2 linked regions of the Schizosaccharomyces pombe genome follow. The main gene of each other region encodes a partner of the protein of the gene in region 2 in a complex. Each region holds a gene or a part of one and is shown on either strand. Other genes may lie near its edges. The genes, in order: rqc2 and rkr1.

Region 1 (9,041 bases), on a different chromosome or scaffold from region 2:
TAAAAAAATGTAAACCAATTATAATAGCAACGTGCTACAAATAGAAACAGTTGAAATAAACACACTATGATGAATGTATCTACTTTGACCTGCTGTAGAATGTATCCCTTAACTTTTAAGTGTCGTCTTGAGATATTGATACAGTGTTCATCAATTGTATGTCACTATTAGTTGTGTCTTGTTGGATTATCGATTGCCAGGCATAGAAGGATACGCTATTAGTAAATCAAAAGAGTAAGATTATACATTTACGATTCATATAAGCAACTGCGAACACTTGAGCTACTTACTTTTCCTTTTTGACGTTTTCGAAACTCCTGCAGATAAAACTTTCGTAAAAGAAAACTACTGTTATTTGAAAGTGAAAAGAATTACTCGTATTTAGTACAGGTTTGTGCCAGGTAGACGTAACAGCTAAAATAAATGCTAAGTAATTTATGATGACTTTTATCTCAAACGAGCTGAAAGATTGAATATATTCTTCCGAGGTTTATTTGACGTTACCTTTTTACTTTGCTTGTTCAAACGTACAATATTTTCAAATCTCCTCGGGAGGCCTTATCTTTAATATAGTCCTTATAAAGTTGGCTATTTTCTTTTATGTATATATTACTTCTGAGCTTGCGCTAAGATGGATGATGCTTCATTTATGCAGCTTTTGTTCAAAATACATGTTATAACAATAAAGCTTCTTTTTGATCCTTAGATATACTTCAAAAAATTAGTCTAATAATTATAATACTACTAAATATCATGTATACATTTTTTGACTATTATAATTCATATTACTATGTTTCTCGTTTATACCAATCACTATTGTGACCAAGGGCCTATGTCTTTTTATTTTTACTTTTATTTATTTTTTTTTTTTAATTATGTCTCGTAGAGTATCGATTGCAGATATTTTTATTTATTGTAAACAAAACAAAGCCCGTCTATACATTAAATCGAAAGAAGGTTTACAAAGAAAATTAAAAGTAAAAGAATTACTAGAAAAATTCATTTATGTGTGCTTTTGCACCAAAAGATAGTAAATAAGAAAATGCAAAACAAATTTCGGTTTCATATTAAATATTGTAACATTGTTGCAATATTCTATTGTCTTAGCATACCTTTTATAAAATTCAATCATAGAATGCTGTTAAACGTACAATGCAAATGTAATTGATAACTTATATTTTTGAGTCCCCGATGGCTTTTCTTCGTTTATTTATCAGACAGTTGATTAATTACAGTTTTTTTTGTTTCAAAAAATAAAACAAAATAACAGGTATGGGAAAAAATATTTTTGTTTAGATTTTAAATGCACATCGTTCACCGTTTATTGAAAAAGCAAGTTTTAAAATTAAAACGTCAATACCTTTTTGTTTGTAATTAGAAAAAAAATATAAATCATATAATGAATGAAGTTTAGTAAGTTTCAACTTGTTCGCGAAATAAAACGACGCACCTCACATTTTCTATCAAGGCTGCACACTACAAAGCGATAAAAATAGCAGTATTCAATTCCTGCTAATTTTATATTATAATATCAATAAAATAAAAGAAAATTATGAAAAAAACTATCGAGTTATTTGTTTTTTTTTTGCATATAAAACAACATTAATCCAACTCAAATACCGTACTATGATACAATACGATAAAATGGATAAGGTATACTGAAGTGCCATTTTAAATGCTTACTTATACGTATTCATTTTACAAGTCTTTCTTTCCCGTATACAGCTTTTCAGTATGAATCGTCAAAGACCGTTCCAGCAGATGAATGATTTGATGAAGCGGGGACTTCCTAAAGGAAAATATGCTTTTACAGGAACTGGTTTGTTGTTAGCTCTTGGCCTTGCAGGATTTGCTGTGCAGACTTCTCTTTTTAACGTTGATGGTGGTCACCGAGCTATTAAGTATAGCAGGATTGGAGGAATTAAAAACCTTATATATCCTGAAGGAACCCACTTCTTGATTCCTTGGATCGAAACGGCCATTGATTACGATGTTCGTGCTAAACCACGAAATATATCTTCTCTAACCGGAACGAAAGGTAGGTTACAAGAATTAAAACGTTGAGCGTACATAACTAAAGGTGACTGTAAGAAACATTCATTTGGTTTTTATACCTACTGTGAATTAAGCTTTTAGTTGCAAAGTGATGAATTGTGTTTATGGATTCTACTCTTCTCGAATAGCTAAGCTTTGAGGGGTTTTTGTTGGTTGTATTACTAGAAATATGTTAACCATTTTTCTTTAGATTTACAAATGGTGAACATTAATTGTCGTGTTTTGTCTCGTCCCGATGTTCATGCTTTGCCAAAAATTTATCGTACTTTAGGTGGTGATTATGATGAACGTGTTTTGCCCTCTATTGTTAATGAAGTCTTAAAAAGCGTTGTAGCTCAATTTAATGCAAGCCAGTTGATCACCCAGCGTGAACGTGTATCTAGGTTGGTTCGCGAGAATTTAATGAAGAGAGCAGCCCGATTCAATATTTTGCTTGATGATGTCTCACTTACTCATGGTATGACTAACATTAGTCAAGCGTTTGTACCTTAAAATACTAACTGCATCCAATAGTTCAATTCTCTCCTGAATTTACAGCCGCTGTAGAGGCCAAGCAAATTGCCCAGCAAGATGCTCAAAGAGGTATGGTTCAGCTCTTCGTACAAATTCAATATTAACAATAATTTTTTAGCTACTTTCTATGTCGATCGTGCTCGAATGGAAAAACAGGGCTTTATTGTTCGTGCTCAAGGTGAAGGTAGAGCAGCGCAACTAATTGGTGAAGCTATTAAAAATAAGCCTGGTTTCATCGAGTTAAGAAAGCTTGAAACTGCTCGTGAAATTGCAAACATTCTTTCAAAGAGCAATAACAAGGTCATGCTTAATGCCAGCACATTACTTTTAGATGATATTAAATGAAGTCTAATGTAGGAATTGTCATTTTATTAATAAACAAATTTAACTTTTTGATACAAAATTCTCTTTGAAAACCATAATATTCGCTGATTTCTTCAATTTCTGTTTAAAAAAACAAAAACAAAAACAAAATCAAACAGTGAAGTAGCTCCAACTATTAATCTCAAATAAATATTTTCATTTCTTTGACTTTTTGGTATTACCGCTAGATCCAAAAACCATCTTTAAACGACTCACACTTATAGGAGCAACAATTTCACCGTCTTTAAGGTTTTCAAGATAAGCAGCTTCTTTTGATGACTTGGGAAGTTTTTTCATGAAGTAGGCGATTGATTCCCTTGCCGCTTTCCCAACTTTTCCAGTTCCAGGCATGACTTTTACCTTCTGGTTAAATTTAGTCATAGCATTGTATGGGGCAAATGTCGGAACAGCGTTTATCACAGTATCCTGCTGTTGAGGATTAGGGGTTAAAGAATCAATTGCAAAAAATATTTCTTCGAATAAACTCCTCGGCATCTCTTGTCTTTGAAAACTTTCAACCTTCGCATGCTTTTTTTCGTCTCTCTGTTCAGTAGACAAACCTTTTTCATTCTCAGCTTCACTGTTACGACTTTGGTCTTCAATTACTTCTGCACTAATGGGCTCGGAGACGCCATCTTCTTCAATCTCTGATTCGGCAGTGGGTGTTTGAACGTTTGATGAATCATTAGAAGGAATTTGAGACGAAATTTCCATTTCTCGAGCCGCATGCTTCTTCTTAGCCTTTTTTTGTTTTAAAATTGCCAAAATAGTTTGTGGGTCTGTAGCATCCTCTATTGAAATAGGTGCTTTAAGAGATTCCTCCAAAGCAGTTTGCCTTCTAGCGCGACGTGCTTCACGCCTTTCTTTGGCAGATACTTTCTTAGCTGTTATAACTTTAGAACCTTTTTTACCACGCTTTTCGCTGACAATATGGATGTCTGAACCAGTGGTATCAGGAGTACTTTGATTGTTGGTGTCCTCATTGTAACTGACTTCAGACACAACATCTTGAATGTTATCTTCAGAAGTTACCGAAGTACCTTCCATTTTAAGTTCCGACACCTTTCCTTGAGTTTCAACAACCTCCATTTCTAACCTTCTAGCTTTGCGACGCTCAGAACTTTTTTCATCTAACTGCCATAATATTCCATATCCCATAATGAGGACAGTAGGAGGTAAATAGTTTTTTTTGGCCCGAATAGCAAAACTTCCTGTTGGAAGAATTTCACCTGTTGGAGCAAGTTTCGATACCTCATCAATTCGAACCCACCATGCACTGATTACGGTCTTTGAATCCCATGCTTTAGATGAAGCCAAAGCCAAGGATCCAGCTTGTTGTAGAGTATTAGGGGGAATAGGATCATGAGGATTTTTGTTTTTTACAATAATTATCGAAGACTTTGGCAAATCTGCACAAACAAAGATATCACCTGTGTTGCAATACTTTTGGAAAAGTAATTCATTTTGCTGGGCATCACGGCCTCCCAGAACTAGATAACCTTCCGAAGAAATAAACCAATGAAACTTTTCAAAAAAGAATGTCTTTCTACCAAGGAGAATACGTTGTGTATCTGCAGTAGTAGAGCGCTTCAAATCCTGTTCAATCTTGCGTTGGGTGCTTTTCAGGGCTTTTGAGGCTGCCTCCGCAGTCTTTGTTTCTTTAATTAAAGCTTCTCGACGTAATTCATACTGTTTACGCGCATTTGCAAAGGCGCCAAGAGATAAATCCAATTCAACGGCAATAAACTTTGACGAAACTTTTCCTTCCTTCACTTTATTATCATCATCAGAATCATCCAAATCATCATCGCTGGTTTCTGAACTTTCATCAGAATTATCTACAGACTCTGGATTAGGAAGAAAAACGGTAACGGCGTTTTTTATAAGTTTAAGGGGAATTTGAATAGCAGCAGCTACCGGACTTCTTCTTTTTTGAGATTGAATTAACTTTTCAATATCTAACCAATCCATTCCTTGGTTCAACAGAGAGTTAATGTATGAGATAATAGCCTCAACAAGTTCAGGGTTCATCTCAATTGCCTGAGCCCTCAACGCACAAGTAGCTTGGGCATCTTGTAAACTTTGAAGTTTTCGTGCTTGATCCTCTTTAGCCGATTCAAGCCTTCGCTCAGCTGTCGCTAGGCGATCATGTGCTCGTTTTTTTAGCTTTTGTGCTTCGATAGAAGAGAAAAACTCGTCAACGCATTCGTTATAGGTTGGAAACTCCATGCACTTTCTGTTTGCCTGAACGAGCTGTAAAGGCTGAAAAGGGTGAAAATCTTCGTATAATGTAGTACATTCTTCAGGGTGTTGAGGATCAGCAGCATTTGTTAGTGCTTGCTCCAGTGAAAATATATAACCCTTTACTGGGGGCTTATTAACTGCAGCTAATATGGAGTCGGCTTCTTGAAAAGCAGCTAATAAATCGTTTTTCTTGGTTTCGTCTGCACAGAGCTGGCAAGCAGGGAATAGTGGATCTAATTTTGAACGCCGAAGACAGTGCTCTATAAGTGCATTACCATATTCACCTAATCTTATAGTCAATGCTTTTCTAAGAGAAACTGGTTTGGGTACTTTAATCGGCTTTGTAGAAGAGGATAGTTGTTGGTCAGGTAAAGGTTCGTTAATAGAAGTAGGAGAAGCATAAGCAGTGCTTATTTCATCCAAAAGGATATTTAATCGTTCAGCTGTCATATGAGGAATAGTAGACTGAGATTTATTGTCATTAACGAGATTATTTTTGTCTAAATTGTACTTTTGCCCTACGGCATAAACTTGGTCTTTATCGAAGGTGACCACTCGTAAAAGAGACAGAATCTTGTAATGGCCGTCTAATAGTAAAACATTTCCAGCAGCGAAAAATTCACAAACCAGATAGTACGTCCAATCGGGGTCTTGATCATTCGCACCACCTCCAAATGTGAAAACGAGTACTCGATCAGTACCCAACTGAGAGACACCAGTTAACCTTCTAGATTTTATATGTTTTCGTAGCTTCGTTACAAACCCAGACAAAGGGGCATTTTCTCGATCAAATTTTGTTAAATGAGCACGAAACCCACTTTCAATAACAATAGAATATTTTGCATCCTTTAACGGGTTAGTAAAAAAATATTTATTACTTTCTACACATACTTGTTTACCAAACTTCAACAAGAAGGTACGCGCATTTAGATCATAAAAGTTATTCAAGCGACACCCAACCACTTGTTCTCGTAATTCCGCAGCAATCGCAGCAATATCTAAAGCGGAAAATCTTTGCTTCATTTACGTCTATAACACCTATCTAAATGAATTTCTGCGTTACAACAAAATGAAGTATAGGCTCTAGTTAGAATGTAAACATGTGTATAACGTAAGTGAAACTGAAGCACTAACAAAGCGCAATGATATCCGCAATATGTAATAAGGAAAATTATAGCACACCATTGCACCATAAAACGGTGTACATTAGCAGCATTAAAATTCTTAGCGCAAATTTGGATTGTTCTCTCAAATTCATTATTTCTTTCCCGACGATGATTCTTTAATCGTACATTTATAGTCGTACATGACACTGATTATAAAGATAAAAAATAGTTAACTAATGATAAACTTATAAAAAACTTTGACACCTAATATGTCAAACTGGTGTGACCAACCCAATAAGTAAAACCAGAAAGTCAAGAGTTATCGTTGCTGAATCTAATCAAGTGAGCCGAAAGTTGATTAATCATAATTTCTGATTACCCCGTATCTCATTTTTTCAACGACATCCAGAAACTCTTAATTGAAAAAGATGGCTCTAAATGTTTACCAAATAACGAGTACTAAAGTCGAATACAATAGCCTTTTAAACAGTATAATGCAGTTTAATGGAGCATCGGTAATGGCGTTTGATATTTTCAACGAGTAAATAATAATGGAAATTTGGCGTACCCACAAACTTTGTGCATTAACATATTGATTTGTTCATATCTGAGAATTTTAAGTGATCCAATTTTTGAAAGAGTTTGAGTTGGGATTTTTAAGGTAAATCGATTATTGGCTTGCTTTGGTTGTTCTCAGAAATTCGACAATGGTGAAAAACACTGTTAAACACGTCGACTCTTCCAAGCATTTAGAGAAAGTTGCATCCTTAATCAAAGAAGGAAAAGGTAATGACTTTTAATTTTCTTTCCTTGACCATACTAATGCGATTTTATCGAAAATAGTAAAGAAAATATGTGTTATGGTTGGTGCAGGGATCAGCACTGCAGCAGGAATCCCTGATTTTCGAAGCCCTGAGACTGGAATTTACAATAATTTACAAAGATTTAATCTTCCTTACGCAGAAGCTGTTTTTGATCTATCTTATTTTCGAAAAAATCCGCGTCCATTCTACGAATTGGCTCACGAATTGATGCCTGAAAAGTATAGACCAACTTATACTCATTATTTTATACGCCTTTTACATGATAAAAGGTTACTACAAAAATGTTATACCCAAAATATTGATACCTTGGAGCGTTTGGCAGGTGTGCCTGACAAAGCTCTGATTGAAGCACATGGCTCTTTCCAATACAGCCGCTGTATTGAATGTTACGAAATGGTAAGGATTGTTTTTGAAAAAGTTAAAGTGAAAAAGCAGAAATTGGTTTTACTGACGGAAAACAAAGGCGGAAACGGAGTATGTTAGAGCATGTATTATGCAAAAACAGGTCCCTAAATGCAACAGTTGCAAAGGTCTCATCAAACCAATGATTGTGTTTTATGGCGAGGGATTACCAATGCGTTTCTTCGAGCACATGGAAAAGGACACAAAAGTCTGTGATATGGCACTGGTAATTGGAACAAGTTTACTTGTTCATCCATTCGCGGATTTGCCTGAAATAGTGCCAAATAAATGTCAACGAGTTTTGATTAATCGAGAACCAGCTGGCGACTTTGGGGAGAGAAAAAAGGATATCATGATATTGGGGGATTGTGATTCCCAAGTACGTGCGTTATGTAAACTATTAGGATGGTCTGATGAATTGGAAAAGTTGATTGATACGAGTGTTGAAACGCTGACAGAAGAAATATCTTTACTTTCTGTTGACTCTACAATAGAAAAGAATGCCTCTGAACAAAAGAAAGACGATAACTCGGTCAATCCTTTCACTAAAATAGAGGAGAAGAAAAAAGACGAGGTGACGCTGTTAGTTTCTGATGATGAATAGTTCAGTTATTCGGGAAATTTTCTATATTGTCATGATTAAAACTAGGAGATCCCTATATTTATTATACTAAGAAAACGGAAATTCACGATTCGGTTTGATGAATATTTGAATCTACACATACGATTCGTTTTCTTTTAAACAAGTTTAAATACTTTTTTTTATTTCAGCAATTTTATAATATTTCCTTCCAGGCGTCCTTTTGATTGCCTCTTAACCATGAATCATATTGCTCTCTTTATGAGTTGTATGCTGGGTTAAACTAATGCGAAAAGGATAACAAAAAGGGGGTTCTGTATACGATCTCGATCAAACTCATGAAGATGCCCTCGCATTTTCGTGAAAATAACTTGCATTTTTTTTAAAATTGGCGTCCATCTATATACGCAATTTGGGTTATGAGAAAGTTGCGCTAGAATAATTGATAATGGTTTCAAATTTACTGCACTGTAATCTAATACAATCTTTGTCGAAACCTTTTTTCTGTTCAGTTTGGAACATATAGTTCTGAAATGGGAGATTATTCATTTTCATTTAATAAAACTTTGAATTATCCAAGAATTGGAAATAGGAATAATTAATCAAATTGTTCTTTTTGTAGTTTCATTCAAGAATAATGCTTCCTTTGAAAAACTAAAGCGTTTTCTACGAATTGTATATTGTAACAGGGGACGGTGTATAAACCAGTTAGTCCATCATCATAACCAGTTCTGATTTGAATTTTGTTCTTGTGGTCATTATTGTTCATAAAATGAACTAGAGATGTAAAGACATAATTCATATTACAGAAAACAAGTATCTAAGCGCTTGAACAATTATCAGTTAATTTTAGAACAATTATTAAATTTATATCTATTTTATCTGCATATATCTATGTACCTTTGGGTAACTTATGAGTTGTACGAATTACTGACTACATGGCTGTCACCTCCT
Region 2 (10,922 bases):
AGAAACCTGACCGACAATTGTTGCATGGGTGATATGATTGTTTGTCACCTTCAAGCTCTCAAGTGCGGGTTCAAGAAGCTTCGCAAAATGATAAAGCTTTTCATTTTGCATCTCTTGTTGAGCGTATTTGAAGTTAAAAATTGTAATTTCATGACTATAATCTCTTTTGCTTATTGATTCTTTAGTGATCTTTCCTTGTTGTACTAGAAAATCGTGGATTGAATCAAGGAGCATCACACATATAGAGGAAAGCAAAACGCTTGTATCTTTACACCACTCTATTTTGATTTTGATGGCTTGCAATTCTTTTGCATCCTCATTCTCATCTTGACCTTGAGTATAGATATTGCAAAGTTTATCTAAACAACTTTGCAGGTTAGTATATTCTCTCTAGTAATTAAAGTTTGCAATGCTTACAGAGATGTGGATTGAATGTTTAGGTAGTTTTTTAAATTCCACCCATCATCTATTCCTTGCATAAACGGTTGTTCCACGTTGCTCATTTTACTGTTATTAATGTGCGTTGTTCTAGTAGGATTCGTCTTGAATAAAAGTTTAAAACAAACCAGGTGTAGTTGTTGTGTCATAACAAATGATATCGGTTTTTTACTAGCTGTTTATTCTTATAGCTCCTAGCAAGTAAACACTCGAATCATTGCGTACACTAATCTACCAAACACAAACAATAACAAAAACCTTGTTATACTATAAGTTTCTTTAAATATCTTAAATAACTTACATTTTTTAAATCAGTTATATGGAATTTTATTGAGAAATTATTTGTTTACTTCAGTCGTTATTAAAGTTCTCATTTTCACATTCTATTCAAGCAATGGACATTTAAATTTTCGACTTTAGCTACAATAAAACTCAAATCAGGTAATCGACTTTGCATACAAACAAACACTAAACTCGTATAAACTTTTAACGATCAAAACAAAACAGACACATTCATTCACTAGTAACTAAATAACACTAAACTTCATTATAATGTATCATAAAAAAAAAGAACCAAAGATATCACACCATTAAAATACCAATTTTTTTTTAAAGTGCCTAAACAAATGTAAAGCTGCTGCGGCACAGTGGACAGCGGCTTGAATTTGAAGATTTGAACCATTTGTATAAACATGATGCGTGGAATTTGTGCCTACATGTTCCACATCGTTTATTTGGCAAAGTACGCTCCACAGACAAGACAGAATAGCAAATAGCACATTCTTCAACGCCTTCAAAGTGCATGGATATATTCTTCTTCAAAACTAGTAACGCATCAGTGATAGAGCCATTTTGCGATGATAAGATACTTTGAGAAGCCAAAATCCATGAGCGCCATTGTCGTTCGTTAACACCGACTCTTTCTATTCCTTCTACTTGAACATTTTGTAGGGGATATACAGAGGGAATTTTGATGGCCATTTCCAGTTTGTGCTCATCAACATTATAGATGAAAGATATCTCTCTGGTGTTTCTGTTAACTTTCACATTAACATCACCAACAGATTGAAAATCTTCGGATTCAATTGATCTCTCCACATCGTCTAAGGAAGCAGAAATCAACAGCGGGGAAACATTGTACCCTGTAAACGATTCAACAGTAGAAGTGAAGGCTCTATTCTTAACTTCAGACCAATAACTTCTAACAGAAGAAGAAAGATGTCTAAGACATTGATAATAGATATGAATTGCAAGACATCGAATACGATCTGTAGCAGAGGAATAATCCATAAGGTTGTAATCAATTTTGGGATACTTATCAACGTTAATTGGCCTGTCATATGATAAATTAAGAATTTCAACTAAAGTATTAAGCAAAGGACGTAATAAATCCATAGCATGAAGTTGGTTAATAATTGACAGCTTTATATTGTAAGTGGTTTCCTCAAAATGATAAAAGATAAGATCCCAAACTAAAAGATACACACGCAACGCATGTTCATATTTCTCCATTTTGCTTACCATTACAAACGGATCTCCAGGAAAATCAATAGCGAGAGATAGAAGTTCTGGGCATAATGAAACATCAGGTTCGTAATCACTTTCAACCATGTAGTAAACAGTAAGTTCCTTAAGCTCATGACTTAATTTTTCGCGTAAAAATTTCATACAAACAGACTCCATTTGCAAATCATTCGAGTTACACAACGATGGAAAAAACTCTTGATATTGAAAACTGCGAACAACCTTCCCTGGACAGTTTTCTAAAAGCTTCACCAAATATTGGTTACACATACGTGCGGTTACCGAGTTTCTCAGGGTAGATTCGTGAGTAAAGAGAAATCGTTTCAACAAAAGATAATTCATGGATTCATTAGACTCAACAATACAATCTTTAATATCAGAGTTCATTTCATAGTTCTTGGATAAAGCATTATAAAGTCGAAGAGCAAATAGTTCAAACGATTTTACTATTGGGGCATCCACTACAGACATCTTCATAGCATATTTAATATAATCGAAAATGCTATTCCAATAAGAACCAGATAACGAAAAAACAGTGGGTAAAAAATAGTACATGAAACGAAGAAAGCAACAAACAGGTAATAGCTCTAAAGATTTAATTCCACTTTCAGAACACCAATTGGTAATATTTTCCAAAAAAAGTCTGCATCTTGTGATAGGAAGAAGGGGCTTCTCAGTAATCTGTTGAGTGGTAGCCGCATTCAAAATCAACAGAGACTTAGAAACTTCATTAGCAGAGTGAAGTTTACCTGTTAGATCGTTTACTGCTTTAAAACGAATTCGTTGAATAATTTCAGAATCTACTTCTAATGGCTTCAATCCTTCTAAAATAGAAGATACGAAAATAGGGGATTTTGAAGAGCTCAAGCCCAGCTTTCCTAAAACAACATCAACGTGTTTCTCATCCATTTCTAACAAATTTGAGACAACAATCAAAAAATCTGTTAACCCTTGAGCGGCAAATATAGAAAAAGAAGTAGTATTCTCTGCAGATGACAAATTTTTAAATCTTTTAAACAATACAGGCATTTTCCCATCTATATCATCAATTAAAAGCTCATTTAATACTGTCAAAGCATCCTTATCGCGCATAAATTTAACCACTTCACCTTTGAAGTAGCATTCAAAAGATTCCACAAATATTCCAGCATCTCGGATGGGAACATCAATTATGCTTTGTATGCCATTTTGTAAATAAATTCGTATTAACAAATAAGCAAACGTAAGGTTAAATAAAGCATCACCGTCGCATCCGGTAGTTTCAACATAATATAAAGTGTATAAGGAGGCATGGAATATATGCACAAATTGAGTACCTACGTCTGTCATATCAACATTTATGGGCTCTGAGGCAACTAAATCTAGAAATCCGAGAATAAAATCTTGGTCAATGAACAACTTGTTAGAGAAAAAAGGAATGCAAGAGGATATTTTTGCATCCCAAAAAGAGGCAGGAAACGTAAAGAAGTTTGAAGGGAGTTTTCCAAACGAATTGAAAACAAGAACACACTTATCAGCAGCTAACTTTTCATTTATAGAACCATTCAAAACCTTATTCAATGACCATTCCTGCACTTCTGAACATAGTTTAAGAGAAAAACCGGAATCTTCTAATGCTTTCTCTTTCAATAGGGAGAAGATACTTTCAAAATGAGCTGCAACATGGCCATCATCTTCTGGTTTACTGAAAAGGATCACAGGAAGCAAAGAATACAAGGATTTATTTTCATCAAATATTGTTGGAAGATGAGCTTTCAGAGAATGCAATGATGCGCACAAAATAATCAAATGATTATCAACCCAATCATTCGTAAGAAAATACTCCAAGGTCGTAAACAAAATATTTTTAATCGTTTCTTCTGGAACAAGGATTTCCTTAGACCCAATGCACGCTCTTATCATATCCCAATCGTTTCCTGGGTTTTGCATAATAGCAAATACTGCTGTATCATAGTATTCTACTAATGTTTTTACCAAGGAAATTTTCCCCCTTAGTTTTCCATCAGCAAACAAAGAGGGAAGACTATTTAAAACCCTAATATTTTCCAGTTCATCAAAGGACACTGTGAATTGATTAGCAACATTTTCCCAAGGCTCAGAGAGATCCGCGTAATCTTTAAGAAGTAAAAGAATATCACGAAGCAAAGTAAAGGCTGGAGATTGAGGCCCAAGCTTTAAAATCGAAGAAGGCAAATCATTCACCAAATATTTTTGAAAAAGTTCCTTAACGGGTTTAATCAATGTAGTATCACTGAATATGTGACAAACAGTTATTAACTGGGATGCCGATAAACATGCAATACGTTCATTTTTGTGGGTAGACAATTTCATTAAAAATGACAAACAAGGTCCCAGAATCGACATGACTTCATTTCCAGTTTGAAAATTTCTATTTTTAAGATATAAAACTGTTTGAACGGTTAAGCTTAAGTTACGTGATAAAGAATCAAATGGGATAGTTTCAATGTCCATAGATTCATCATTAAAGAAACCAAATAACACTTCGTTCCAGAGCGAGGCGAAATCTGAATTTTTATCGAATACACTTTGCAAGCAATGATCGAAATCAGACGTTGAACAGCGTAGAACAAATTCACCTTTAAAATACCTGGTAAATATAGTCCTTAAACGGTCACGGACATGATCCTTAATTTGAGGATCGGAAGAATCGGTATAAACAAATGACAAGAAATTGAGTAAACAGTCATAAACTTCAGTAGATAGGAAACGTTGTTCTTGATTTGCAGTTTCTAAGAATGCATCACACAATTCGTCTACACTTTCAATGGAAGGAACGAGCTGCATAGCGCCTATACTTTTAAACAAATTCAGCAAGGATGTGTAAAACCCAGAATTAGGAAGGCTGATTCGCTTGGTGATCAAATTTGAGAACAACTTTGAAAGAGGACGTTTTGAATCATTTGCAAATTGGTGAACCTCGTTGGGGAAATTAGAAATCATGTTACTAAGAAGCCTAAGCATAGGGACGCAGGTCAAACTAGTTAGTCGTGAAATCATTCGTGAAACACGTTTAAAATATTTCTCTTTATATTGGGTAACAAAAGGTTTATCATACTTCAAGATAATGAGCAATAAATCGCTCAGGCTCACTGTGACACCATCCTGAGGTGAGGAAACCAAAGACCAAAATTCGTCAGACTTGAAAAGTGTAGACAAGTTCTCGTAAAGAGATGACTTAAAGGTTTGCTTATCTATCTTCTTATCTGTCTCTAGATTTTCTAAATCGGCAGTCTGTTTGAAAAGAAAAGAAAGGGTCAGAAGACAGCTAGATTTAACTCTGGTAACTTTCGATTCAGCTTCTTCATTTGAAAAAAAACGCAAATCCGTTAACGATTCTTTGTCTTCATGTAAAAAAACATCAGTGACTATAGGTGCGATAGTAGATCCAAACTTCAGCCAAACATGGGGCCACTTTTCTTCGGAGAGTAAATTTTTAAAAGAGTCTTTTGCTGATACAGAGACTGCACGATCTGAATCAAAAAAACCCATAACCCAAGGTGTGATATAGAATTTGAGCCATGGTGCAAGTTTTTTTTGAAGCGCAGAAGATAGAACAGACATGAAGACAAAGATTTTTAACCGCACATGTCGTTCCACTTCTATAGATAGTCGAGGAAATAAAACTGCCAAAGCATTTAGAAACTGTTCATTGTCAAACTGTGATGGGTCATTCCACTGAATTAAATCTTGTAAAGCTCGACATTTCGTTACGATGTCACGCTTTTGCAAATTCTTCACAATAACAATCATTTCTGCGTCTAAACCAGACAAGTCTGGAGGCTCATATATCGTACTAAAATTTGAGCTGGACTCATCCAACGCAATTTGCAAGGATGAAAACGATCCTGACATCGATTGCATCCCGGGATTTTTACGGCTATAAAGAGATTAGCATTTCGGCACATACATAAAGAAAAAAGAATCGTTGTATTTTTAAACAAACTTCCCCAAAATATGGAAAAGTATGGATTTGTAATAACATAGGTGTTCTGCATATATCCAATGAGAAAGACCCTATTTTGTGTGCAAACCCATTTTGTTACCATCTTCTCACATCTTTACTTACCCGTATAAATCCGTAGATTTTTTTTTCATCTTTTTTTTTAGTTTACAATGCAATGGAATGCAGCGGATCAATTTGGCACAAAGAATGAAAAATTACAAAGGAAATCAGATATCAGTCTGTCCGACGTTATCATAGGTTATTGATAACGTTGTTTTAAGCAATTCATTGTGGTATGCAATGCTTTATAAACTGATACTTTAAAGCTTAACTATTTGTGATGACGGAAAAGGAATTAAGTAGCTTGCTAAACTGTATATCATGTCAGCAATACTACACTACGCTATGATACACTACGTTGCGTATCACTATATGTCACATGTTCTAATTATATATCGTACCATGTATGATACGATATGGAGATTGATCTTAATGATAATCTATTAAGATCAATATTATCTGAATACTATAAATAGAGCTACTGCTGAACCTCGTTCCTCAGTTCAGTTATGAGCTATATTAGTGATAGGTAACATTATAACCCAGTTAATACAATACCTATACTCAGTTGCTACTTATACAACCTGTGTATTGTAATATAATAGATCACAAGGAAAACTCACCGCAGTTCTACGTATCCTTAAATCAGATACCAAACTGCGTAGCTTACATATCAGATTCTTTAATTGCAATCGCAAAACTTATTTAAAGTAACTTATCAAACGGTGTCATCTACAAAATACCTTATCTAATTTAAGGATGCAGTAAAAATACGATGATTTTTATTGCGATCTGTTCAATATTGCGTTAGTTACAGAAAACGTTGGAAACTTGGTTAGTATGATGTGACTATCCAGCAAAATTTAAAGATTTTACGCAAAAGGTTTATAGAACATAATTCACTGGTATCATAGGAATCAATTACAATTTGACAAACTGCAATTCTATAGAAGTCTTCAAACTAAGACATTGAATTATTAAGATATGCAACATGTGTAAGGTTGGCAACTAACGTAAATTATTTAGCATTGTTGCGTTAATGAAGTTTTACAGCAATCTCTAACGAGAATTTAGGTTTTACGCGCACGCCGTATGAAGGAGGTAGTACACTACGAAAAGAAGGACTCCCTTTCTACCGTGTCTTGTCTTGTAAAATTAGTGGAGATGATGCAAGTATAGTGCATAATGAATATTGCTCAAGAGGTTGCTGTTTTACAATATCTTGATATTCAGCAAGAAAATCCTAATGCTCCCAACGAAGAACTCTTCAATCGAACGGCAGAAAGCAGCCTGCTTTTAGAGCCAATTGAACAAGATCAATTAAAGGATCTGGTCGAGGAATGGATGCATGATAGCAATAAATCTGATTCAAAGCTTCTCTCCAACCAAGTTTCTCAAAACGATAATGATGCTCGAAAAAATCTACGAAAAAGGCTGCGGAACGATGTCCTAAAGGATTTGGCTGAAGAGATACAGGGATGTGAAAAAAAACTGGAAAGCTTATATGAAGAGGTTGCAAAGGCAAAGGCAAAAGCTGTGGAGGATCAACTCGCACTTGAAGAAGCTGACAAGGAAGCAAAAAAAGCGAAAACTGAAGCTCCTGTAGAGGCTGCTAATAAATCTCTTCGTTCTAGAAAGAAAACACCAGAGATTGCAGCTCCTGCAAATATCGAACCCGAAGTTGCACCCACAACTAAGACTCCAAAAAAGCGCGCTGCCCTGTCTAATGAAGAAAAGCAGTCTTTGAAAAAGTTCCAAAGTGCAATGCTTCCTATGCTCGACAATATTTCTAATCACAGGTTTGGAGCACCTTTTAGTCATCCTGTAAATCGTAAAGAGGCACCAGATTACGATTCTTTAGTTTATAAACCTCAAGACTTACGAACATTGAAGAATATGATCAAAGAGGGTAACATCACGGAAGTGGATGAATTGTATCGAGAAGTTCTTCGAATCTTTGCTAATTGTAAAATGTACAATGGCAGCGATCCAGCCAACGCCATGTCCATATGGGGAGATGAATGTTTTCGCTACACAGAAGAGCTTTTCGATATTTATCGTCAGGCAAGTACCCGTTCTCAATGAGTGTTTTACATTTTAATTATATTCCTTAACATTTTTTGTTTATGCTTTGGATTCATATCATTTTTTGGCTATAATTTTGACGACTTGGGGGTACATATTTTTTAAATGGTACTATATTTTATTTTTATCAAATTTATGTTTTTTTTTATATCATAACCGTGTATTTATTTCGTATAGATTCAAATCAAGTATGAGATAATTTACAATTTAGTTTTTTGTAACTATATAACAGCTGGTAAAAAGTTTCAACTTCCATACGTTCATATAAAAAAAAAATAAAATCTTCAATAGGTAAAATTAAGCGTTCTTCAATGTTGACTCCATTCTATAGTACTAAGATCGACACCCTCCTGAACCAAATCCCATAACGGGCTCATATTCCTTAAGAAAGAAACTTGTCTACTCACATTTTCAATAGCATAATCAATTTCGGCTTCAGTTGTAAATCGGCCAATACCAAAACGAATAGAACTGTGAGCATTTTCATCACTCTGACCAATTGCACGCAAAACGTAAGACGGTTCTAGAGATGCGGATGTGCAGGCAGAACCAGAAGACAGCGCGATATTTTTCAAACCCATAAGCAACGATTCCCCTTCTACATAATTGAAAGAAATGTTGACACAACCTGGATATCTAGATTTAGGGTCGCCATTCAAAGATGTATATGGGATTGCAAGAAGGCCATCTATTAATCTTTGGGATAGTTTGGAAATATGTGCATAATCATACTTCATTTCTTCTTTGCATATACGGGCCGCAGTACCAAATCCCACTACTTGAGATGGAGCAAGAGTACCACTTCGTAAACCTCGTTCCTGACCTCCACCACTAATAAGCGGCTCTAAACGTACACGAGGACGTCTTCTAACATAAGCGGCTCCAATTCCTTTAGGGCCGTAAATTTTGTGAGCAGAAATAGACATTAAATCAATGTTCATTCGATTGACGTCAATGTCAATTTTTCCATATCCTTGAGCAGCATCTGAGTGAAAGAAAACCTTCTTCTGTCGACAAATTTTGCCAATCTCTTCTAGTGGTTGACAAACACCAATTTCATTATTGACGGCCATTACACTTACACAAACAGTATCAGGACGTATGGCGTCACGTAATTCATCCAAATTAATAAGGCCATTAGTTTGAACAGGTAGAAAAGTAACTTCAAACCCTTCTTCTTGGAGAGCACGTAAGGAATCCAAAACGCATTTGTGCTCAGTTTGAACGGAAACAAGATGCTTTTTCCTACTTTTGTAAAATCGGGCAACACCTTTCAAAATAGCATTATTTGATTCAGTTGCGCCAGATGTAAAAATAATTTCTCTTGGATCAGCATTGATTACAGATGCTATCTCTTGGCGTGCATTTTCAACAGCTTTTTCTGCTTCCCAGCCATAGGCGTGTGTTCGACTATGTGGGTTTCCATAAATTCCAGTGAAGAAGGGAAGCATACTATCTAGTACACGATAGTCGAGAGGAGAGGTAGCTTGAAAATCCATATATATAGGATGCAATCCCGTAACCGTACTAGCAGCGGTTTGTGCTTGATCCAAAGTTACTGTTTTCAAAGAATTTTCCGGTATGGGCTCTTGAACCGCCGTCATGTTTCCTAGCCCGTACATTTGTTCACGAGGTTTATTGCTCATTGAAGGTTTGTCCATACGACTGGAAGTCATAAACGACCTACCGTAAACTCCAAGACTCTGTCTAACATTATTAATATCCTGACTCTCTCGCTTGACAAAAAATAAAGCACTTCGTAGTTCAAGAAGGCATCTTGCTCTAGAAAGCATCAAACTTCCCATTTTGGACATGGTTGTTTCCAAAATAGAGGAAATTTTGCTAATTCTTTATTTATTTCCTAAACAACAAGAAACAAGTCCTTTTTAAAATAATTTGGCAGTTGCTAAGTTCAAATTTTGCGATCTGACTAATAAAAATTTTGGTTGGCGGCGTATCTGAAACCAACCAAAACTAAGCTTCGACCCAATACATGTAGAGCTGCGCAATTATCAGTATGTTATCATTGCATCGTAAACGACGGAGACACTGTTCAATCGAATAAAAACTGTAATAAAGAGCATAGAGACGAGCAAATTAAAATCAAATGTTTGCCTTATATTTACTATGTTTTCACCTCATCTAGATAAAAATAAAAATAAAAATAACGAGACGTTGCGTAGTATACTGTATTTGCGATTCGGCACAATTACAGGAAACGATCAGCATTGCTGCGAAGTATGCTACGTGAATACGGAGAAGGATGGTTAAGGGAATTTGAAAGGGTCAGACATACCAACTACCAGAATTACTTGATGAGCTGGAAAGGGTTTACAAAGGCACTTGCGCGTACGCCGCAGACTCTACGCAGCAAGTTTAATGTTGGAGAGATTACCAAAGATCCTATTTATGAGGATGCTGGAAGACGGTTTAAGTCTTTAGAAACGGAAGCGAAAAAGCTGGCTGAAGACGCCAAAAAGTATACTGATGCTATTAATGGGTTATTGAATCATCAAATTGGATTTGCCGATGCTTGTATTGAAATTTACAAGCCTATTAGTGGGCGTGCTTCGGATCCTGAATCGTATGAGCAAGAAGGCAATGCGGAAGGTATTGAGGCTGCCGAGGCTTACAAGGAAATTGTATACGATCTCCAAAAGAATTTGGCTTCTGAAATGGATGTTATCAACACTCGCATTGTCAATCCAACTGGTGAACTGCTCAAGATTGTTAAGGATGTAGATAAGCTTTTGTTGAAACGCGATCATAAGCAGCTGGATTATGATCGTCATCGTTCATCTTTCAAGAAACTTCAGGAAAAGAAGGATAAAAGCCTTAAAGATGAGAAGAA

What was found.
Region 1: rkr1 (region 2) and rqc2 share a complex: the UniProt entries of both Schizosaccharomyces pombe proteins name them as parts of the ribosome quality control complex.

The regions. Positions count from the first base shown.
Region 1 is NC_003421.2:1,322,110-1,331,150, forward strand, and holds rqc2 (ribosome quality control complex subunit Rqc2), read right to left. Parts: upstream 6,265-9,041; 5' UTR 6,199-6,264; coding exon 6,067-6,198; intron 6,022-6,066; coding exon 3,088-6,021; 3' UTR 2,948-3,087; downstream 1-2,947. Other genes in the region: prohibitin Phb2, read left to right, coding at 1,735-2,038, 2,246-2,512, 2,569-2,637, 2,687-2,913; histone deacetylase, Sirtuin family, NAD-dependent Hst2, read left to right, coding at 6,989-7,067, 7,125-7,501, 7,569-8,111. UniProt on the Schizosaccharomyces pombe protein: Key component of the ribosome quality control complex (RQC), a ribosome-associated complex that mediates the extraction of incompletely synthesized nascent chains from stalled ribosomes as well as their ubiquitin-mediated proteasomal degradation.
Region 2 is NC_003423.3:2,421,723-2,432,644, reverse strand, and holds rkr1 (ubiquitin-protein ligase E3), read right to left. Parts: upstream 6,124-10,922; 5' UTR 6,079-6,123; coding exon 6,050-6,078; intron 5,861-6,049; coding exon 1,057-5,860; 3' UTR 923-1,056; downstream 1-922. Other genes in the region: SPOM_SPBC21D10.08C (uncharacterized protein), read right to left, coding at 1-367, 418-503; bdc1 (bromodomain-containing protein 1), read left to right, coding at 7,172-8,071; cysteine desulfurase Nfs1, read right to left, coding at 8,380-9,885; BAR adaptor protein Hob1, read left to right, coding at 10,387-10,922. UniProt on the Schizosaccharomyces pombe protein: E3 ubiquitin-protein ligase component of the ribosome quality control complex (RQC), a ribosome-associated complex that mediates ubiquitination and extraction of incompletely synthesized nascent chains for proteasomal degradation.